Anolis sagrei: one gene and its partner. The protein of the gene in region 1 interacts with the protein of each later gene in a pairwise test. Links are inferred from orthologs where the notes say so. Each region holds a gene or a part of one and is shown on either strand. Other genes may lie near its edges.

Evidence for each region.
Region 2: the proteins of LZTS2 (region 1) and TNIP3 interact in binary tests that used the Homo sapiens proteins (3 or more experiments, as listed by UniProt). The two-hybrid records come from large-scale screens. The link is inferred for Anolis sagrei from reciprocal best matches to the Homo sapiens genes LZTS2 and TNIP3.

The regions. Positions count from the first base shown.
Region 1 is NC_090023.1:215,471,319-215,475,593, reverse strand, and holds the start of LZTS2 (leucine zipper putative tumor suppressor 2), read right to left. Parts: upstream 2,847-4,275; 5' UTR 2,411-2,846; intron 1,787-2,410; 5' UTR 1,737-1,786; intron 1-1,736. UniProt on the Homo sapiens protein: Negative regulator of katanin-mediated microtubule severing and release from the centrosome. Required for central spindle formation and the completion of cytokinesis.
Region 2 is NC_090025.1:36,194,162-36,198,436, forward strand, and holds the start of TNIP3 (TNFAIP3-interacting protein 3), read right to left. Parts: upstream 2,701-4,275; coding exon 2,674-2,700; intron 1-2,673. UniProt on the Homo sapiens protein: Binds to zinc finger protein TNFAIP3 and inhibits NF-kappa-B activation induced by tumor necrosis factor, Toll-like receptor 4 (TLR4), interleukin-1 and 12-O-tetradecanoylphorbol-13-acetate.

The sequences.
Region 1 (4,275 bases):
GTTCTGTGTGGGAAGTTTGGCCCAATGCTATCGTTGGTGGAGTTCAGAATGCTCTTTGATTGTAGGTGAACTATAAATCCCAGCAACTACAACTCCAAAATGTCAAGGTTTATTTTCTCCAAACTCCACCACTGTTCATATTTGGGCATATTGAGGATTTGTGCCAAGTTTGGTCCAGATCCATCATTGTTTGGACCCACAGTGTTCTCTAGATGTAGGTGAACTACAACTCCAAAACTCAAGGTCAATGCCCACCAAAACTTTCCAGTATTTTCTCTTGGTCATGGGAGTTGTGTGTGCCAAATTTTGTACAGTTCCATCATTGGCGGAATTCAGATTGTATGTTGACGATAAATCCTAGCAATTATAACTCCCAAATGACAAATTCAACCCCCACCAATCCCACAAGTATTCAAATTTGGGCATATAAGGTATTTGTGCCAAATTTGATCCAATGAATGAAAATATATCCTGCATATCAGATATTTACATTATGATACATAACAGTAGCAAAATTACGGTTATGAAGTAGAAACGAAAATAATGTTAGGGGTCACCACAACATGGGGAACTGTATGAAGGGTTCCTGGCATTAGGATGGTTGAGAACCACTGCTCTATGAACTACCATGGAGGTTAAGATCTTCTGGGGAGGCCCTTCTGGTCCTACCTACTTCACAGACATGATTGGTGGGGATGAGAGACAGGGCCTTCTCAGTGGTGGCCCATCAATTATGGAACTCCCTCCCCAACAAAATTAGATCAGCTCCCTCCCTCCTGACCTATAGAAAGAAATCAAAAACTTGGCTATGGGACCAAGCCTTCGGATAGTAACTCAGTGCAATAAGAGGATACGAAATAATTTCAACATGATTGAAATGGATCCTGGACTATGACTTTGGATTTGTGTGGTGTTAATAATTCATTTTAATGCATAGATTTTTTTCTTAACTTTTATAGTTTAAATATATAGCCTTATTGTTCTTATATGTTTGTTTATATGGCACTGAATTGTTGCCAATCTGTAAGCCGCTCTGAGTCTCCTTCGGGGTGAGAGAGGGCAGGGTATAAATAAAGTAAATACATAAATAAATAAACAATTACAAGCAGATAATATAAAACAGTGGTATAAAACATATTAAAGTTGGATGATAATGCATAATGTCCTTGCACAGTTGAGCTAATTACCTTACATAGTGAGGAAAAAGACTTTATTCAATCCACAAGAGACACAGTTCAACACAACATTGCCAAGAAGTGTGTTGGTGAGTACCATCCTGGACTGTTGTCATTTAAATGTATATGATTACTTTGTTTGATTAGTTTTACATTCTCCAGAATAACCATAGACTATCAGTCCAGTGACAAATACAAATTTGAGAAGAGCAAAGAAAAAAATCAAAATAACAAAATAATGAGAAAGGAAAGATGTGGGGGGAGGAAAAGGGTGCCCTCCACCTACAAGTGAAGTCATGCTCTATTTCAAACAAATCTGCTAGGCTTTGATCTAATCAGAAAGTGCCTGATACCTATCAGACCTACTCTTAAAGTCAACTAGTTTGCATTGCATGTGAACAGAGAGCTATCTAAAGTTAAACAAAGAACAGCACCCCCAAGGCACCTCATAGCAACCCAATGGTTCCAGCCATGAAAGCCTTCAACAACAGACCTCCATTCAGTTTACAACTCATATCTTTCCCTCAAAAGCCCTATAAACTTCTTCCTCACACAACTTACCTGCCTCAAGTTTTGAAAGTGAAGTAAATTCCCCGGATACCACCTTTCTCCTGAAATACCAAAAATACTAAAGTTTAAAAACTAAAATTATACAATAGGGTGTTTGGCATATGCTTTACACAATAAATCAGGATTGCAGGTACGTAATGACAGAAGTTCCCATAGCAAACTAATAAACTCCAGAGCTGCTGCTAATTCCTTATCCAAAAGCAAAAAGAAGACGATGTACTCAATATGGTCTAAGAACTGAATACAGAGAGCCATACTTTGTTAATAACAGTCAGTACTTTGACGCTTCAACCTCCACATTAGCCATTAAAACAGTTCTTTCTTGTTCACTTTCCTGTTCAAATTTAGCAATGCTTCACTTTACCCCCCTATTTTATTTGCACTTAGACATTCAGCTGCTTCAAAATGGTGTTCCCCGCCCAAAAAGCCAGCTCTGAGATCCAAATTTCAAACACAAGCACAGCCAGAGTTTGTTTGCTTGTTTTCTCTCCCCTGAAATTTGTTGTAGGATGATCAGGAGAGGGAGGGACGGCTTTAGGCAGCACTGCATCTCAAATTGTGCCAAAGAATATTGAACGGCAACACCAACAACTCTGCCTTGCATCCTGTATACAGTACATTTTGGCATGCAGAGAGGGAGGGGAAGAGAAGAAAGAGATACATACCAAAAATGCAACCTCAGTCAACAGCTGCCAGACTTCTGGACCAGAAGAGAAACCCCTGGAGAAGCTTCTCGGTGCAGGAAAATGGCAGAGGAGGCTGGCCACCACATCTTGCAAGAGTCAAACCACTTGTGATTGAAAGTTGACTCCTGCTGCTTGCCCTCTTTGCTAACATTACCAACTCTCCTCCAAAACCAGAGAAAGGCTGGAGGAATTGGCCCACGTCACAGCCAAACATTCCTCCCCAGCTAATCACAGGCCAGGCGGGGAGGAGCGGCTGTCGCTTCACATTTCTTCCCTGCTAACCACTGGGTTTGTGTGTGCGTGTTCCCACATGTGCGGTGCACATCACGTTCTCATTGGTTTCCTCGCCCGCTTCAAGACATAACCCAGAGAGAGACACTCCAAGTCCAGGCACATGAGCCACCAAACTTAGGATCCAGGCTAGAAGGCAGCTATCTGTAAAGATTTGCTTCTTTCCTGCACCTGGCACAGAAGAGTGCGCAAAACCTCTTGGATGTGGGCCAAAGGAAAGCCCTGGGGATTTTCTTCCTCCTACTCTCTGGCTGGCATACAAAACAAACTAAGCAGGAGCCCCATAGTCTTCTCTACTCTTGCCCACCTCAGTCCCCCCTGCTTTAAAAGTCCAAGCATCACATTACAGACCCTTTCGTGCTCCAAACACAAAGCAGAGCCAGATCATTCCCTAGCACTCAATGAACTACTCCCTGAGCAGCTGCTGTCGGCAGGAAATCTTCCACTGACTGCCACACAGCTGAAAGACCGAGCTCTGAAGAACAGCCTGAACAGCCTCGAAAAAGCCTGCTAGCATGTATTTGTCAACAAATGTTGACCCAATTAAAAATGGCCATCTTACTCCTTACTTTCTCACAGGCTTTTGAAGCAGATAAGACCGGTCTGGGAAGAAAACATTCATCCTAAGACTTTCTGTCCTCTGTCAAATTCTTTGACTCTTGGGTTGTATGTATGTATGGTCATGTTCCAGAAGCATTCTCTCCTGACATTTTGCCTGCATCTATGGCAGGCATTCTCAGAGGTCTGCTGGACACTAGGAAAATCGAGTTTTTATATGTGTGTGGAATGTTTATATATCTGTGGAATGTCTACATAGGGACCACCAAACGCAGCATTGCCCAAACAGGAATCAAGGAACATGAAAGGCACTGCAGACTACTTCAACTAGAGAAGTCAGCCATAGCAGAGCACCTGATGAACCAACCTGGACACAGCATATTATTTGAGAACAGAGAATTCTGGGCCACTCTAACAACCACCATGTCAGACTACACAGAGAAGCAATGGAAATCCACAAGCATGTGGGCAATTTCAACAGAAAGGAGGAAACCATGAAAATGAACAAAATCTGGTATTTAAAAACTCTAAAATCATAACAGTAAATAAAGAACAATACTCAAACACAGGGGAATTCCAGACAAGAAAATCTGGGTCAACTAATCACCTCCCAACAAAAGATTCCCCCAAGCAGTAGGAAGCCAAACCTTGAAACTGCTAGGCCATTAAATGCTAATCAAGGTGACCAATTGAAACATTCACATTCACTACCTCAAACAGGCAACAGTTCTTTCTCCCACCCTGGACATTCCACAAATATATAGATCCCATTTTCCTAGTTTCCAACAGACCTCACAACCTCTGAGGATGCCTGAGATACATGCAGGTGAAACGTCAGGAGAGAATATTTCTGGAACATGGCCATACAGCCTGGAAAACATAACAACCCAGTGATTCCAGCCATGAAAGCCTTCAACAATTCTTTGAATCTTGTCATCATTATAAAAGTGAGGTTTTTCCAAGGAACAAGTGAGAAAAGGCATAGGCAAACTTGG
Region 2 (4,275 bases), on another chromosome or scaffold:
TCTGACTCTTCATGACCTCATGGACCAGCCCACATCAAAGCTCCCTGTTGGCCATGGACACTTCCAGCTCCTTCAAGGTCAAGCCAGTCATTTCATTTTCCCCTAGCATCTTATCCAAACTTTCCTGTCTTCTCATTATGTGGCCAAAGTACTTTGCCTCTAATATCCTTCCCTCAAGTGAGCAGCCAGGCATTATTTCCTGGAGTATGGACTGGTTTGATCTTCTCGCGGTCCAAGGCACTCTCAGAATTTTCCTCCAATACCACAGTTCAAAAACATCTATCTTCCTTTGCTTAGCCTTCCTTATGGTCCAGCTTGCACATTCATAGGTTACTACCAAGAATACCATTGTTTTAACTATGCAAATCTTCGTTGCCAGTGTGGTGTCTGTTCACTATTTTATCAAGATTGTTCATTCCTCTCCTCCCAAGAAGTAAACGTCTTCTGATTTCCTGGCTGCAGTCTGCGTCTGAAGTAATATTTGCACCTAGAAATACAAATAAATGGATCCTAGAGCAAATCAAGCCTGAAACCTCCCTAGAAGTCAAGATGACTTAACGGAAGCTGTTGTAATGAAAATACATTACTCTATTTTTTTTAAAAAAAAAAACAATAATGGTAAGGTAGATAGAAGTATCGCTCCAGCAGGAAGGTAATGGCGCTCCATGCAGTCATGCCGGCCACATGATCTTGGAGATGTCTACGGACAATGCTGACTCTTCAGCTTAGAAATGGAGATGAGCACTGCACCCCAGAGTCAGATACGACTGGACTTAATGTCAGGGAAAAAACTTTACCTTTTTAGATAGAAGTAGGAAAAGAGGAGACCATATATTCCAGAAGGTTTGACTAAAGCTGGATTTACACTTCCATATAATGTGGTTTCAGAATGCAGATTAATTGCATTGAAGTGGATTGTATGAGTCTATACTGCCATATAATCAGTTTCAATGTAGTTAATCTGCATTCTGAAACTGCATTATATGGCAGTGTAGATCCATTCCTAGTCAAGGAAATCTAAGCAGATCTATTGAAGATAAGAGAAGTCTTTCATTCATAGGGTTGCCATAAGTCAAAGTCAACTTGAAGACAGGTAACAACAACAACAAAGAGTTTACTACTGCTAATCTTGATCTCTTGGCAGTTTATCATTCTAGTTGATACAATGCTTATTATTTACCATTGATATTTTTAAGGAAAATCTGTCTAAAAGCATTAAAATGGTGAAAAGCCCCAAGTAATGAGAAAGTAATAGGAAAAAGTAATGAGCAAACACAACTAAGCACATAAATTAAAAAACTACTCCATAAAGTGGAGTCCACGACATGCGAGTGTGGAGAAGAGCAAACCACAGACCACCTACTACAATTCAGTCTAAGCCCTGCCACATGCACAATGGAGGACCTTCTTATAGCAACACCAGAAGCACTCAAAATAGCCGGCTACTGGTCAAAAGAAATGTAGTATAATGCTAAGTTTTTTAAACTTTGTGTTTTTTAAAATTATCACAACTGTACCCTCAGTTCGCTTCTAATATGACAAATAAAAAAATATGATAAATAAATTACTTCCAAGCTTAAAAACAGCATGCAAACTTTTTAATTTTTTTTAAACGAAACCTATAAAATAAAACTGAAGTAGGAAAATTTTATTGGAAATCTAGAAATTAATGATAAAACTACCATAGTGTTATAGCATTGTTATCTAGCTATCTACTGTATCTGTATAAAAGAAGACAAATACAAACTTTAAAAAAAATTAAAGCATTGAAAAACTCAGGAGAATTTTTTAAAAATTGCATAAATGTACTTTGCTGGATTCTCTTTATGTCCTTCTAATGCAAGGGGATTTAGTCACAATCCATATTAATCCAGTGGGATCCACTTGGTGTTTTAACCCACCTGTGTCTAAAATCAGAGTAAATGTTACATTTATTTCTCCCTCTTTCTCCTTTAATGATCAAAATATTTCATTCTTTGTATTTATATTAGGAAAGGCTGAGGCTGATTTCTTGTTTTTACTTGAGAAGAGTATAAACACTGAATAATTTTTGATCTGAGGCTCTGATTTCTGTTGGATAAAGAGATGTTATGCTTGGATATGTACTCATAAAATTATGAAGCAACTGAGTACTTAGACACCGGGGAACAGGCAGGAAAAACAAACACAGTCAAAGCAAGGTGGAAGGGAAGTGTTAAAATGAATTATTTTGCTATCATTTATTTTAAAGAGGGTCTTCGTCATGCTTTGGACACCACGAGAGTTCCACATTTACAAGTGTCTGGGGTATTAAAAAGGATATAGCAGGCATTCCATCGCTTATAAAACTGTAAAATAATTGTTTAAGCTCATTAACATTATATGTTGCATATATGGCATTCTCTGTCAGGATAGAATCTTACGCCATCCCAGACACATCTGTTTGCACATCTGATCTTAGAAGAGAGTTAACAGCTGGAACAGGAAATGGAACAGTCTAGTTGTCTTCCCAAGACTATTAGGGCTAACTGCTAATTAAATACATTTTAGTTGATGGTTGGTTTCTTTAGAAAATGTGAATAAAGAAATGCTGTTCAAGCCTCATCTACACTGGCCAGTTAATCCAGAACCAGTCTGTAGCAGAACCAGTCTGGTCCGAGTCCAGAGATTGCATCAGCCCTGCTGGACCATCACCTTACCATTCATGTTGCTGTCCTTCATCCCTGTCCTTCTTTCTGGTTATGCAGGCACCTTTGCTGATGCAAGCAGGTAGTGCCTGCATTGACCAGAAATTCATACAGAGCTCATCTGATCCTCTGGAGGGCACAACAGCAGTGACATGGGCCCAATCCATCTCCTGCCCAGATGAAGTGGAAAGGGAAAAAAGAGACTTTGAGTTGTGGTTGCAAAGAAGAGAAGATGATGGAGATGGCAGAAGGGAAGGCAGAAGGTGCAGCAAGTGATCGCAAGATGCAAGAGATGGCCTGTGGGGCAGCATGACCCACATTTAGGAACTTATTCTGATATGTATTGTCGAAGGATTTCATGGCCAGAATAACTGGGTTGTTGAGGGTTTTTCGGAATGTAAGGCCATGTTCTGGAAGCATTCTCTCCTGACGTTTCACCTGCATCTATGGCAGGCATCCTCTGAAGTTGTGAAGTCTTCTGATATGTTCATGCATCCATGACTTTTGGGCATCAGTAAGAAAACTGAAGGGAAAAACAAAAATACAAAAATAATGGACAATACAGTCCATTACAAGTGTCTGTCCATGACAAAACATGGTTGGTATTTTTCACATTATGAATATACAGAGGCAGCCCTAGGTAATTTTCAACAGTAAGCAAACTGTATTTTGGCACCACCCCCGCCCCCCAACCAATCATTGATATATATTTTCTGTTCGTCGTGAGAGTTCTGTGTGCCATATTTGGTTGAATTCCATCATTGGTGGAGTTCAGAATGCTCTTTGATTGTAGGTGAACTATAAATCCCAGTAACTACAACTCGCATATGTCAAGGTCTATTTTCCCCCAAGAGCATCTCAAGAGCGCCCCTGGGCAAAATCAACTATACTGCAAATGCTTACTTTGCGTAATGGGTTGAGCTGCCCCTGTGAATATACTTCACATGGTTCTTCTCCAACAAATAATCTCCACAACAATTTTGTGAGCTAGATTTGCTGAGAGGTACATAATTAGCAGAATTTTACATTGCATTCAAATGGATGGCCCCAATTTGAAGTGCTGGAATATGGCAACCTGAGTTTAGATGACATGATGGCTTGCAAATATTTCATAGTGTGCCATATCTAGCATTACCACTACACCAGTATGCAACTATGCCTACACAACCTGATAAAAAACCTGATAGATACTGTAACACTGCAACGATTGTGGGAAAGATATTCTTGCAATGCCACTTTGGATGTTGAACACTTTCTCACCATCATAGATGATGCCCTCTAAGCTGTGGCCAGGAAGCATGTGCTTCCAAAAGTAGCAACAAGTAATAGTAGTGGAGATTCATAGCATTCAAGGATTGTACAAGTGTTGGCAAGCAAACTTGTCTTAATATGTGGATCACAGCAGTTTAAAATTGACACAGGATGAACACAAATGCATGTTTATTACACAGAAATGGCCCGCAAAGCCCTGATATTTAAATGTTTTATTTAGAGCCATCACTAAAAGCCCCTCCACCACTTGTTGTACTTGAAGAATGGCCTCAGTCTGCGTCAATGCTGCTGCGTTCAGCTTTTATCAAGGAAATCCCCATGTCTTCCAACAGAGCAA